Linked DNA regions of Rattus norvegicus. The protein of the gene in region 1 interacts with the protein of each later gene in a pairwise test. Links are inferred from orthologs where the notes say so. Each region holds a gene or a part of one and is shown in the gene's direction. Other genes may lie near its edges.

Region 1 (2,930 bases):
TGTAGTGGGGCTAGAGAGCAGGTAAATGGGCATGGGGGAAGCTAGAAACCTAAGGTTTCGAAGGGAGGACACACAATATTTGGATATCCATGTGTCCTTGTATCCATGTTGTCCTCCAGGGTCTTGAAATACACAGCCCAGAATCAGGAGCTTCAGAACAAGGTGCAGCATCTGGAGGAACAGAATCTGTAAGTGGCCATTTGAAGCCATTCATGTTTTTAATGCTTTTTTACTCTTTCCCCTGGTCCACGCGACTTCTAAATGCAGACATCAGAGTGATGGAGAATAAACTTAAAGGTAGCTAAGGAGCAGTAAGTACCAAGTTAAAGAAGTAAGAAAAGGCTGAATGCAGGTCATCAACATCAGAGCGGTTGCAGTCATGGGCATGGGACTCGGAGAAGACACATATTGTGCTTGGCTGGACACTAGCTCTGGGGGGTTGGCCCAGGGGTAGAGAACACAGTGCTGGGTGAGGCATGCAGAGTTTAAGGCATTAGAGAGCTTAAAATAAGAAAACTCTGGCTTTTAAGTGCTGGACACTTGTCCTGTGGAGATGTCCACACAGGAGGTGGAGTTTGTTTAAGTCAGGGCAGAGAAGTTTTACTTTTTGTCTCACTAAGGGATCACAGGCATTTGTGCACAATAAAGTCATTTGGGGAAAAAGGAGCAAGGAAGCGGAGGCTGGGTCCACAGCACCAGTGGAGAGGGTGGCTTAAACAGGAGGGTTTCACTGTGACTTGGACACTAGGCCGGAGCATGCCCACCAGTTTCCTCTCTTCTCTTAGGTCCCTTCTAGATCAGCTGAGGAAACTTCAGGCCATGGTGACTGAGATAGCAAACAAAACCAGCAGTGGCAGCACTTGCGTTCTGGTGAGGAGGGGGACAAGAGACACTTTCCTTGGCAGGGCTGGGGTGTATGACCCAGAGCCCATCACCTCCCTTTCCCTGTGTTCTAGGTCCTCCTGCTGTCCTTCTGCCTTCTTCTGGTACCTGCTATGTACTCCTCTGATGTGAGGGGGAGTGTGCCCGCTGAGTATGTTGGTAAGAGGCTTGAGGCGTGGGCTGTGGTAGAGGGCTTCTTCTGTGTTGTCTCCTGACAAGTCTCTTTCTCTTCAGTGTTGCACCGCAAGCTTCGTGCCCTGCCCAGCGAGGACCAGCATCAGCCGAAGCTGTCTGCCCTACAGCCAGAGCTACCAATGGGCAGCACAAACCAGTTGGAGAGCTCAGAACATACATTCCTGGCCCCCAGCAATGTTTCCTGCCTGAACCACATGGCTCAAACAGAGCAACCCCCGCACTGGCCACTCCTTGATCTTTCTTCAGAGATGCCCTTCTCAGGCTCCGACCTTCTCCTGCAAGCAAATCTTACAGAAAGTGGAGGATGGCTCTCTACCCACAGCCCTTCTTCGATCATCTTACAGGGCAGGTATTCAGGTTAGGTGTGAGGATATGGGGTGTCCTCAGCCCAAGGACTCCTGTCTGTATTCACATAAAAAGGAGTAGGGGAGAGCCAGCCTTTGCTCACGGGCCTGTTAGGATGCCCAGGAACTCACCACACTAACTAGTTGTATGAGCATTTTATTTATACCCATGTGTATCTGTTGTCCCATGAATAGATTTGGAGAAATTTACTGGCCTTGAATACTTCATCCACAGAAGGAATGGGAAGGATAAGAAATAAATAAGTGGTTCCTCAGCCCCTTCTTACTGGCACAGCGGGGTAGGAAGAGGAGGGGCATGATTGTCCTATTGGCTCAGGGCTGCAGGACTTGTGGGAAGAGGCAGGGAAGCCCCGTGCGGAGGCTGGGCCTCCACAGCTCAGTGGGATCGCTCTGGACGTAGGTTTACAGTGATCTCTTTGGTCCGCATTCAGGCTGTGCTGGGTGCTGTGCCTTGTGTGACTGCTGGCCGGCTGCTGTTCTTTTTATGCTGCTGCTGTTGAAGGGCCAGCTGCATGGCCCAGATGCTCAGGGGCCGCATGTAGGCCAGGGAGCGGAACACTCGCTGCTGGCAGTATGCCTCTGGGGTCTGGAAAGCCAGGCCCAGGCGTTCCCATACAGTGCGGTAACAGCCTTCAGCTGTCCGGAAACCTTCCCAAGTCAGGCCCTGTAGGGAGAGGTAGAAGCCACACATAATAGCTAGTTCTCAGCACAATTTCCTTAGCAGATAAGGCAGTAAGCTGTTTGCCCTAAAGGCAAGAACTTAAAAGGCAAGAGGTGGAAGGCATATCCGGGAAGAGGGAGCTCTGTGGATGGGTAAGATGGCATTAGGTGGGGTTGGGGATTTAGCTCAGCGGTAGAGCACTTGCCTAGCAAGCGCAAGGCCCTGGGTTCGGTCCCCAGCTCCGGAGGGGGGGGGGGGAGATGGCATTAGGTGTTCTTGGAATAAACTGAATGGCTGAGGAAGTCTTCTGGACTAAGGTACAATGGTGAGGGGATGGGAAGAGAGTACATTACCTCTTGGATCATGGTGGCTGCCAGCCCATAGACCACGCCCACCCAAACTTCATCAGACTGCACACTGGACCTATCAGGGACACCATGAGGCTGCATCCCATTCACAGCCCCCATGGCTCCTCCTGCGAAGGCTTGGACATTGAGCTCAAAGATGGTTTTGAGAGCACGGACAACATGCAGGGTAGGGAATACCTGGAGGAACGGCAAAGGCGGAGTCAGACTTGCCTCCCACCTCCAGGGAAACCCACACTTCTCTGGGTCTTCTACTCGCTCACTTCAGTGTCTCCTTCTCCCAGGCCGCAGGCCCTCAGGAACCACTGCCCAGCACACTGGTCAGACATGACGCTGCGGGACTGTGGCTGGGAGCTGCTGTCGTAGTTGTAATAGCGTCCTGGAATAGAGAGGGAGCAGAGTAAAGTTGCTGTATCCTGAGGTTGGGTTTTAAGATGCCCCAGGTTGCTTTTACTCACCGTT
Region 2 (4,240 bases), on another chromosome or scaffold:
ACAGGCTGGCCTTGAACTTACAGTGATCCACCTTCCTCTGCCTGTCTGCAGGGCTCCTAGACTATTCTTAGCCTAGGATCCATGTGAAGCAGGCTTCAGTAGCACCTGCCCATAATCCCAGAATTCCTATAGGAAGATCAGAAACAGATTGGAAGCTTTTTACGCCACCTAGGGAGCCATACACACAATAAAAAAGACCCTGTCTTAAACAGGGTGGAGGGTTAGGACCAATACCTGGAGTTGTCCTTTGATCTCCACACATGTGTCCTGGTACACACATGCCTACACTCAACATACATGAACAAAGACACATATCTACATACACACATATCACACATAGGGTAAAAAGAATTAGGACATTATAGCTACAACTAAAGTCCTGCTGGGCATGTTGTCATACATTTAATTTCAAGACTTGGCATGTAGAAGCAGGAGGACCAGCAGTTATATGTAATATATATATATATATATATATATATATATATGTTACATATGTATATGTAAAAATCTATACATACAGGAATAGGTACTGGTAATAGCTACACAACACTGTGAATATAATTTATACCATTTAATTGTATTTTTTTGAGACAGGGTTTTTCTATGTAGTCCTGGCTGTCCTAGAACTCACTCTGTAGACCAGGCTGCCTCAAACTCACAGAGATCCACCTGCCTCAGCCTCCAGAGTGCGGGGTTAAAGGCGTATACCACCACTCAGCAGCTGCCTGAGAGATAGATGGATCCAGCTAAAAAGGACTAGTCCAGCTGCCCTGACACTGTAGGTGGTCGGGGCAAAAAGCTCAAACATGAGGGTTGAAAGCAATGTTCCAAACATTCCCTCACTGAGTGATACATAAAACAGAACACTCTCAGGAAAGAACACTAAGCAGAAAAAAGCAACCATAGGTTCAGGTTTATCTCCACATGTGCTTCTGAACCTTCCATGTTCTTAAAGAACATATGTCAACCTTAAGTCATTATCTATGTCCCCAGATCCATCCTCTTATGAGCCATGAAAGCTTTGATATCAAGTCACAATCGGAACTTCAGCTCATCGAACGTAGAAATAGAAGATCTCTCACCCAAGAGTGTGTGTGGAGGAAGTGGAAATGGGGGTTCTGGTGGTTTAAGCCAGTAATTCCAACATTCGAGAGACTGAAGCAGGAGAATTGCTCCAAGTTTGAGGACAGCCTGGGTTACACAGAGTTCTAAGCAAACATGAACTATAAAATGTATAGTGCCTTAAAGTCTACAAGTAGATTTTATTTTGCAACAATGACTCCGGCTCTTTGTAGGAAGGTAGGCGGTTCAGCTTTAGCACAAGAGGTGTGCACAGCCACACTCGGTACCTCCTACCCAGCCTCTGGAGAAGAGGGAGGAGACGAGCCTGGAGGTGGAGCCTGCGTGAGGACCTGCGGACCCACAGCGCAGCCTATGGGCCCATGGCAGAGCGACGCCTGTGGGTAGTGGCGTTCTGCGGGCGGCCATTGTCTTGCCTGCTAAGCTTTCCTACGTGACTCATTTGCTTCACCTAACCGGCAGAGCGAGACCACTGGGGAACTCCCTGATCGGTCTGCGTCTCCCTACACCCAGGCAACATCCTTGGCCTGACCATTCTCTGCCACCAGCCTCGAGAGGAGCGACCTGAGCCCCGGGCCTAGCACTGGAGGGACCCGGGTCGAGGAGGACCATTGCTACGTTCCATTCCTGGAGACTTCTAATAGCCAGACTGTGAGGTGGGACAGATTTCTAAGGCTCTCCTGGCCAGACAGGGCTTCTCCCAGCGCTCATGAGGAACTGAGCCCGGACTGGTGTTTGGAAGAACAAGTCATAGCACCGATCTCGTCCAGCACAGACTTGCCCCTGCCCCCACTCCCAAACCTACTCTCTCCTGTTTCGTTCCTCCAAGAACCCACAGTTCACAAACAGTGCACCTGCCGGAGGTCCCAACCCAGCGGGAGAAGTGGACATGAGGTTGGCAGGTGGGTGGCTTCCACAGCAAACTGAAGAGAGTTCAGGTGTCCTAGTGTCTGTGTTAGGAGGGGACTGGGTGATCACTGGTTTGTTTATTTATTAATGGATGACTGTGCAAACTCATTTTCTTTCACCTCTGAGGACTAAAGCTTCCCAAACTATTAAGTTAAGGATTGATTTTTATATATCACAAATAACAGACCAGCTGCCTTTTGGAAAATTAATTGTGAGAAATATGCTCCAGGGAGCCTAGTGGCTGGATAGAAAGGAGTGGAGAGTAGACAAAGAGAGGCATGGCCTTAGAAGAGAACTGACTTAGGTGCCTGTGAGGTTGGGTGCGATCTGAGTGGCAGCTCTGCTGTCAGCTGGACTACTAATATGAATGTTCCTTGGAGGGACTGTTTGGGGTAAGAGTAGAATTTGAGAACTGGTAAGATAGCAGCTTTGTGGATAAGTCCAAATTGGACATTAAGGAACTGGCTGGAAGGGTATGGGTTCGAAGACTGGAGGTGTGGGTGTCATTGTTGCATGGTGAAATCTCCCACATAGTATGAAGATGGGAGAAGGCAGTCTGGAAAATAACACCTTTTGAGGAGAGAGTAATGGAACACAATCTAACCAACAAAGAGGAAGTCCCAGATGATGGGGTCAGGAGACGGTAGTGTCCTGGAATCTATAGTGAAGTGTTTGCATCAGGAGGGCTTGGACAGCCCACTGAGAGGTCCAGAAAGAGCATATAGACAATCAGAAATGTGACATCATGAAAGACATAGGTGGTCTGGTTTGGAAGGTCATTTAGTTGGTGTTGTGGGAGCAAGGCTAGATTAGAAGATTTTTTGGGGAGAGAATTGGGGAGTGAGGTGATAGAAATCACAATGTAAATTACTTTTATGTGTATGCTGGGGGATGGAAGCCAGGGTCTTATTCATGCTGGGCAAATGCTCTGCCACAGAGCTATCCCAAGCCAGAATATAAATTTTTAAAGACTTTGGTGAAAAGTGGAAGATGAAGAGTCAGTGAATGATATTTTTCTTGCAGGAGCTCTGTTTCATCTTTATCTTACTAAGTTAGGACCTGTTGATAATATGAGAGAAAGTAAGATAGAAAGTAGTCTTAGCACAATATATCTGAGACAGGAGAGAACTTGATGGATCTTGAAACAGGTAGAAGGACTGGTCTTCACCAGGAGTATAGAGCTTCCATTAGAACAAGAGGACAGGCAAAGCAGATGGGTGAACAACTAAATATACTGATAGTTTCAGAGGCAAGATGCTGAGGTTGTTGCTATGGAACCTGCCCAGAACATGAGTTCTAAAAGGCCCCTCCAAACCTGCAGGGGAGACCCAAATAGAGCAGCCTCAATGTTTGGACTCACTTTCTTTCCTCTACTAGGAGGAAGTTCAAATCTCTCTCTTGGGTCTGGTGGGTAGCAATTAGCCCCCCACCTTCCAATCCTACCATCACCTGTTCCCAAGTAGAAGGAGAGATCTGGTCATGTGAAGTAGTGGGTTATTGCAGGGTTTGTTCCCTGATGTCTGAGATAGTCCTGCTTTGTGTCTATCCTGCCTGCAGGCCCCCTGCGCATCGTGGCCCTAATCATCGTTATGGGTCTCACCTGGATCCTAGTCACCATCCTCCTAGGTGGTCCTGGTGTTGGCCTTCCTCGAATTCAGCAATTCTTCACCAGTGAGTGTGGGGACCCTCTTGATTCACTATAGAGGTTATGGTGGTTGGGTTTTCCATTCCCTTCTTGGCAGGCTTCATTGCTGCCCTAGGCCTATCTTCTAACACAAATGCAGCCTTGTTCCTACAAACCATCCTAGAGAACATCCCTAATTGCAATCAATATTGAGTGGAAGTTGATAGAGTAGGAGTAAGGAGTAGAAAGGCCTCCATTGAATATTGATCATCTTGGACTTTCGGTTGGGCTCTGAGACACACAAGGGATTCTATACCTTGTCACTGGTGCCAAGTCACATAAGCACTGTTTACAATTCCAGTTCATTCTTTTCCTGGAGCAGGCAGTTTTACATCAGGGCATCATTGAGACTTGAGCAGGGAAAATGCCAAATATAGCCTGACTTGAACCCGAGTCCCTGAGCCTAGTTACTCTGCTGTAGACTCCTGGAGGCCTCTATGCTAACAGAAAAAACTCTCTACCTACAGGCCCAGAGAACTCAGTGACTGCAGGTAAGTCTCCTGTCCCTTCCCTCTTCCCTCCTGTGCCTGCATTTCATACTGCCTTTTGTTGCCAGCCAGACCCACT
Region 3 (4,098 bases), on another chromosome or scaffold:
GGAGGGGGGGCATGGTGGGAAGTAGGGAGTCCTTTTCCTTGCCCCGCAGACCCTTGACCCTAAGTTCCCTTAAACTCTTCTCTCCACACCCACAATAGCAGCCTCTCCCAAGCCTGGTGTCTCCACCCTACCGCCTTCACCATAGTGTTGGGGGTCGTCTGGAGTCCAGCTGGTGGCCGAATAGAAGCCACCCCTTTCCTGGCCCTGCCCCTCCCGGTGACCCCAATCCTCTGCCAGACACTCAATGGTGCCTTGTTCTCTATCCAGACCCCAGACAAAAGTCCTTCTGTGTGAGGAGGCAGAATTTGGGGGGAGGGGGCACCTCCAACAGGGACCATGTGGGAGCCTGTACAGACCCCAGGCGGAAGGAGTGCCATTTGGAGGGGGACAAGGAAGGGAGGGGGCTTGAGGAGTACAGGGGGCTCATCTGCAGTGGAGGAGGGCAATTTTGACATCCACACCCACACCCACTGGGTAGGTCGAGCATCCACCCTTCAGCTTCTCATCCCTGGGAGGGACATAGAAAGCCAGTTCAGCTTTCAGTCTCCAGGGGCCTGGACTACGAACCCCAAGAACCAGAAACCCCCACTTCTACCGACCACTTGAGTGTTTCCTATTACAACTTTGGTCATACCAAACCTCCTGCCAACAAGGGATGCAGGATGGAAAGTGGGCTTTAGTTCCCTATAAATGCCACCAGGCCCATCCCCAAACAACCACAACTGGTGCTCTGTGTCTTTAATCCCAGCCTGGGGAGACAGAGATGGGTGGAAATCAGTAAGATCAAGTCCAGGCTGGTCTACAATGTGAGCTCCTAGGCCAGCCAGAGCTGCGTAGTGGCACCTTGTCTCAAAGAAAAGGCCACACCCCTACCTCTGCTTATCAGAGAAGTGTTACATGGATGCTCCAAGCTTTCTCCCACATCACTCCAGAAAGAGGGCCTGTCCTTAAGGACCCCAGAATCGTCCCCATTCCAGGTCTCCTTTGATGTTCAGGAGACCAGATATACCGTCTTCCCTCCTTTAAGATGCCAATCTCCAGCCCGCCCTGATTCCCCTTTCACTTCACCTGAGGCTACTACAGCTGGAGACCGGGTTGAACTGTCTCTTTAAGGGAGGAATGGAGTGGGGGCGTCCCTCGCCTCAGGGAGACCTGACTTGTGCCTGCCTGCCCAGGTTTGCTCAGGGCGTGGCGGTGTGGATAAAGGCTGCCCTGGCTTGGGAGTCCATACTCTGCTTTCTCCCGGAACCTCGAAGCCTGTTGAGCTACTCAGGTGAGCAGCCCTGGGGTCTCCTTCACCCAGAGCCCTGGGGGTCCCTTTGCCTCTGCTCCCCAACTCTCCCTGACTCTCTTCTGACTGTACCTGCTACACAGAAACTGGAGTTAAAGACCCCTAAAACCTTCCAGCTTACAGATTCTTTGATGGGGATGGGAGAACTACCCTCCCCGTCAGCTGATTGTCCCTAATGGCTCACCTCTGTGAGACTGGACTAGACAACTGGAGTGACCCACCCAGTGGAATCAGGAAACCCTGGGGACAGGTCTGAGAAGTCTGGGTTTACCTGAGACATCTGAACAGAGTGGGGGTGCCGGGGTGGACAGGAAGTGATTATACCATAATATCATGATTGAGGGTTTCTCAGGGGGTGAGAGTAGGGACGGTATCTAGGGGTAATTGAGTACATGAACAGTAATTTAAATGCACTGGGGGAGGAAACAGATGGAGGTGTGTTGGGTGGCCAGTTATTGGGGCACACGGAGAATAAATGAGCACCAGGAGAGAGAAGATGTCTGCTCTAGGAAAGTGGGACTTGGTTAGGAGATGGGGACTCAGATAACAAGGGTGTATGCATCGTACCCCTGCAGACATGACCATCCACCGTCCTGGAGGAGGGGAGGACACAGAGGGCAGGAGACAGCAACTGCCCTCTGCCTAGCGCAGGCAGGAAGTGCATGAGGCTGCTTAATGTCCCAGGCAAGGCTGGTTCCCTCTGCGTTGCCTCCCACTATGGTTCACTCAGAAGCAGGCAGGCTCTCTTCAGAGCACAGCACCAGCAGGGTAGGACAGTGAGGAGAGAGGGCTGTTTCCGGCCCCCCTCCCAGCCCTAGGGATGACAGGGTCCAGACGGCAGAGGAAGGAAGGAAGGGCTGCAGATGAACCATCTGTCTTCCCCTGCCCTTGTCCAGGTTCCCAAATTTTGGAAGGTTTTGTGGTAATGTGGTCCTTTGGAGGCCTTGGAGGAGTCTGGAGGGAGAAGTGTAGAGGTGAGACCCAGCAGCCATGCTGACAGAGCATGCAGCATTAGGATGAATTGCCAGGTGAGGGCCGTGTGGGATAAGGACAGTACGAGGGAGTCGGCTCCGATTGAGAAAAATGGCTGCACAGGTGGGGCACTCAGCAGGAGCCCTCTGTCAAGGCTGGTGTTTTATATGCATGGGTGACAGAATCAGGAGGCAGCCAGCCTCAGAGCACAGAAATCCATAGCCTGTGCCCCTAACCACCACTTGAGTTCTCCAAAGCTTGCTGGGGCCCCAGACATCTGAGAAATAGTTCCCAAATCAATGACAAGAAATATGTCTAATTTAAACTAATGGGTCCAGGGTGTGCACACATGGGTGCATTCGTGTGTGTGTGTGTGTGTGTATGTGTGTGTGTGTGTGTGTGACAGAGAGAGAGAGAGAGAGAGAGAGAGAGAGAGAGAGAGAGAGAGAGAGAGAGTGTGTGTGTTCAGGGCCTGAAGAGCAGGCTAAGCAAGACTCCATCGCTAGTCCCTCACTGGGGGATTCTAGGCAGGGGCTCTACCACTGAGCCACGCCCCCAGCCCCTTACTGGGGGATTCTAAGCAGGGGCTCTACCACTGAGCTGCATCTCCTTTTTTTTTTTTTTAAACTTTTTCTTTTGTGACAATATCTCACTAAATTGTTCAGTCTGGCCTTGCACTTAGCCTGTATCCCAGGTTGACTTTGAAGTAGAATTTCTTCTGCCTCAGCTTCCCTAGTAGCTTGAGTTAAGCCTGCACTGATTTAGATTAATGAAGAAGCTGAAGGATTTCTCAGCCTCTGGGATCTGCCCCAGGGAAATGGAGGTGTCTGTGTGAGCATGTGGAACTCCCCTGCACCATAGGTGGCTGGTGGCTCCATTTTCCCTTCTAAGTGTGTGCTTTGGTATGAGTGAAAAGGGTTAGTTCTGAAGGGTGACCTTGGGGTTGCTGGGGATTAAAGAGAGGAGTCACTATAAAGTCACTGGACAGTGTCCAGCAAATGGGCAGTGGGGACAAGTGTTAGGATTTGCCACTCAGGCTCCATGAAGGAACAGATCCTGTGTGCCATGTTCCTGGCAGTGATAGTAGGCTTACTGTGAACAGATTTTTCCTTGAAGAGAGGAGGTAGAACAGTGTTTTGCTATGTCCAGGCTGACCTTGAATTTGCCATCCCCCTGCCTCAGCTCTCCAAGGGCTAGGAGATTAAGAGTGTGTGTGTGTGTGTGTGTGTGTGTGTGTGTGTGTGTGTACACGAACTGGCACATGCATGTGCCCATGAGCTCAGGACAGTTGAGTGAGGCAAGCACGGGAGGTCCACAGACAGCAGGACTTTTACTACAGCCCTCCAGGGTGATGGAAAGACAGCAGGTCGCGGCTCAGGCTGTATGGAAAGGGGCTCTATGTGGAGTGAGCCTCGCTGGGGAACCTGTAGTGTTTGCTGCCAGCAGGGCTGGGATGGGGAGTGAGCACAGGCTGAGCAGGGTGAGGGCTGTGGTGTGGGGGCAAAGACTGGACATGAGCTGGGACTCAGAGAATGCTCAGTGGGGCATGCAGAGAGCTCTCAGTGGGACTGCAGAGAGGGCTCAGTGGGGTCTCAAGGGACAGACCCAGGGGTAGGACAGAAGATGGAGATAAGGCCACATCCAGGACTCTCTGTATCTATCCCATCAGCCTGACACTATTTCCCTGTTACACGCACCCGCACCCAGCAGCCCAGGGAGTCAGCTCAGGCCTCAGCTAGAAGCCTGCAGTGTGTGGGCAGAGCCGGGCAGGCTCCAAGCTGTCTGTGGGAGCCACTCCCAGAACCCGGGCCTCTTGCCACCTGGCTCCTGGCACC

What was found.
Region 2: the proteins of Creb3 (region 1) and Fam3a interact in a two-hybrid assay, tested with the Homo sapiens proteins (2 studies listed by BioGRID and IntAct). The two-hybrid records come from large-scale screens. The link is inferred for Rattus norvegicus from reciprocal best matches to the Homo sapiens genes CREB3 and FAM3A.
Region 3: the proteins of Creb3 (region 1) and Fxyd3 interact in a two-hybrid assay, tested with the Homo sapiens proteins (2 studies listed by BioGRID and IntAct). The two-hybrid records come from large-scale screens. The link is inferred for Rattus norvegicus from reciprocal best matches to the Homo sapiens genes CREB3 and FXYD3.

The regions. Positions count from the first base shown.
Region 1 is NC_086023.1:62,616,614-62,619,543, forward strand, and holds the end of Creb3 (cyclic AMP-responsive element-binding protein 3), read left to right. Parts: coding exon 1-21; intron 22-119; coding exon 120-188; intron 189-785; coding exon 786-870; intron 871-956; coding exon 957-1,041; intron 1,042-1,116; coding exon 1,117-1,439; 3' UTR 1,440-1,869; coding exon of another isoform or gene 1,870-2,106; 3' UTR 2,107-2,406; downstream 2,407-2,930. Other genes in the region: Gba2 (non-lysosomal glucosylceramidase), read right to left, coding at 1,870-2,106, 2,457-2,648, 2,732-2,847, 2,927-2,930. UniProt on the Homo sapiens protein: Endoplasmic reticulum (ER)-bound sequence-specific transcription factor that directly binds DNA and activates transcription. Plays a role in the unfolded protein response (UPR), promoting cell survival versus ER stress-induced apoptotic cell death.
Region 2 is NC_086039.1:157,323,771-157,328,010, reverse strand, and holds the start of Fam3a (protein FAM3A), read left to right. Parts: upstream 1-1,398; 5' UTR 1,399-1,731; exon of another isoform or gene 1,732-1,909; 5' UTR 1,910-1,969; coding exon 1,970-1,982; intron 1,983-3,544; exon of another isoform or gene 3,545-3,546; coding exon 3,547-3,660; intron 3,661-4,140; coding exon 4,141-4,164; intron 4,165-4,240. UniProt on the Homo sapiens protein: May act as a defensin against invading fungal microorganisms.
Region 3 is NC_086019.1:95,436,861-95,440,958, reverse strand, and holds the start of Fxyd3 (FXYD domain-containing ion transport regulator 3 precursor), read left to right. Parts: upstream 1-1,256; 5' UTR 1,257-1,273; intron 1,274-4,098. UniProt on the Homo sapiens protein: Associates with and regulates the activity of the sodium/potassium-transporting ATPase (NKA) which transports Na(+) out of the cell and K(+) into the cell.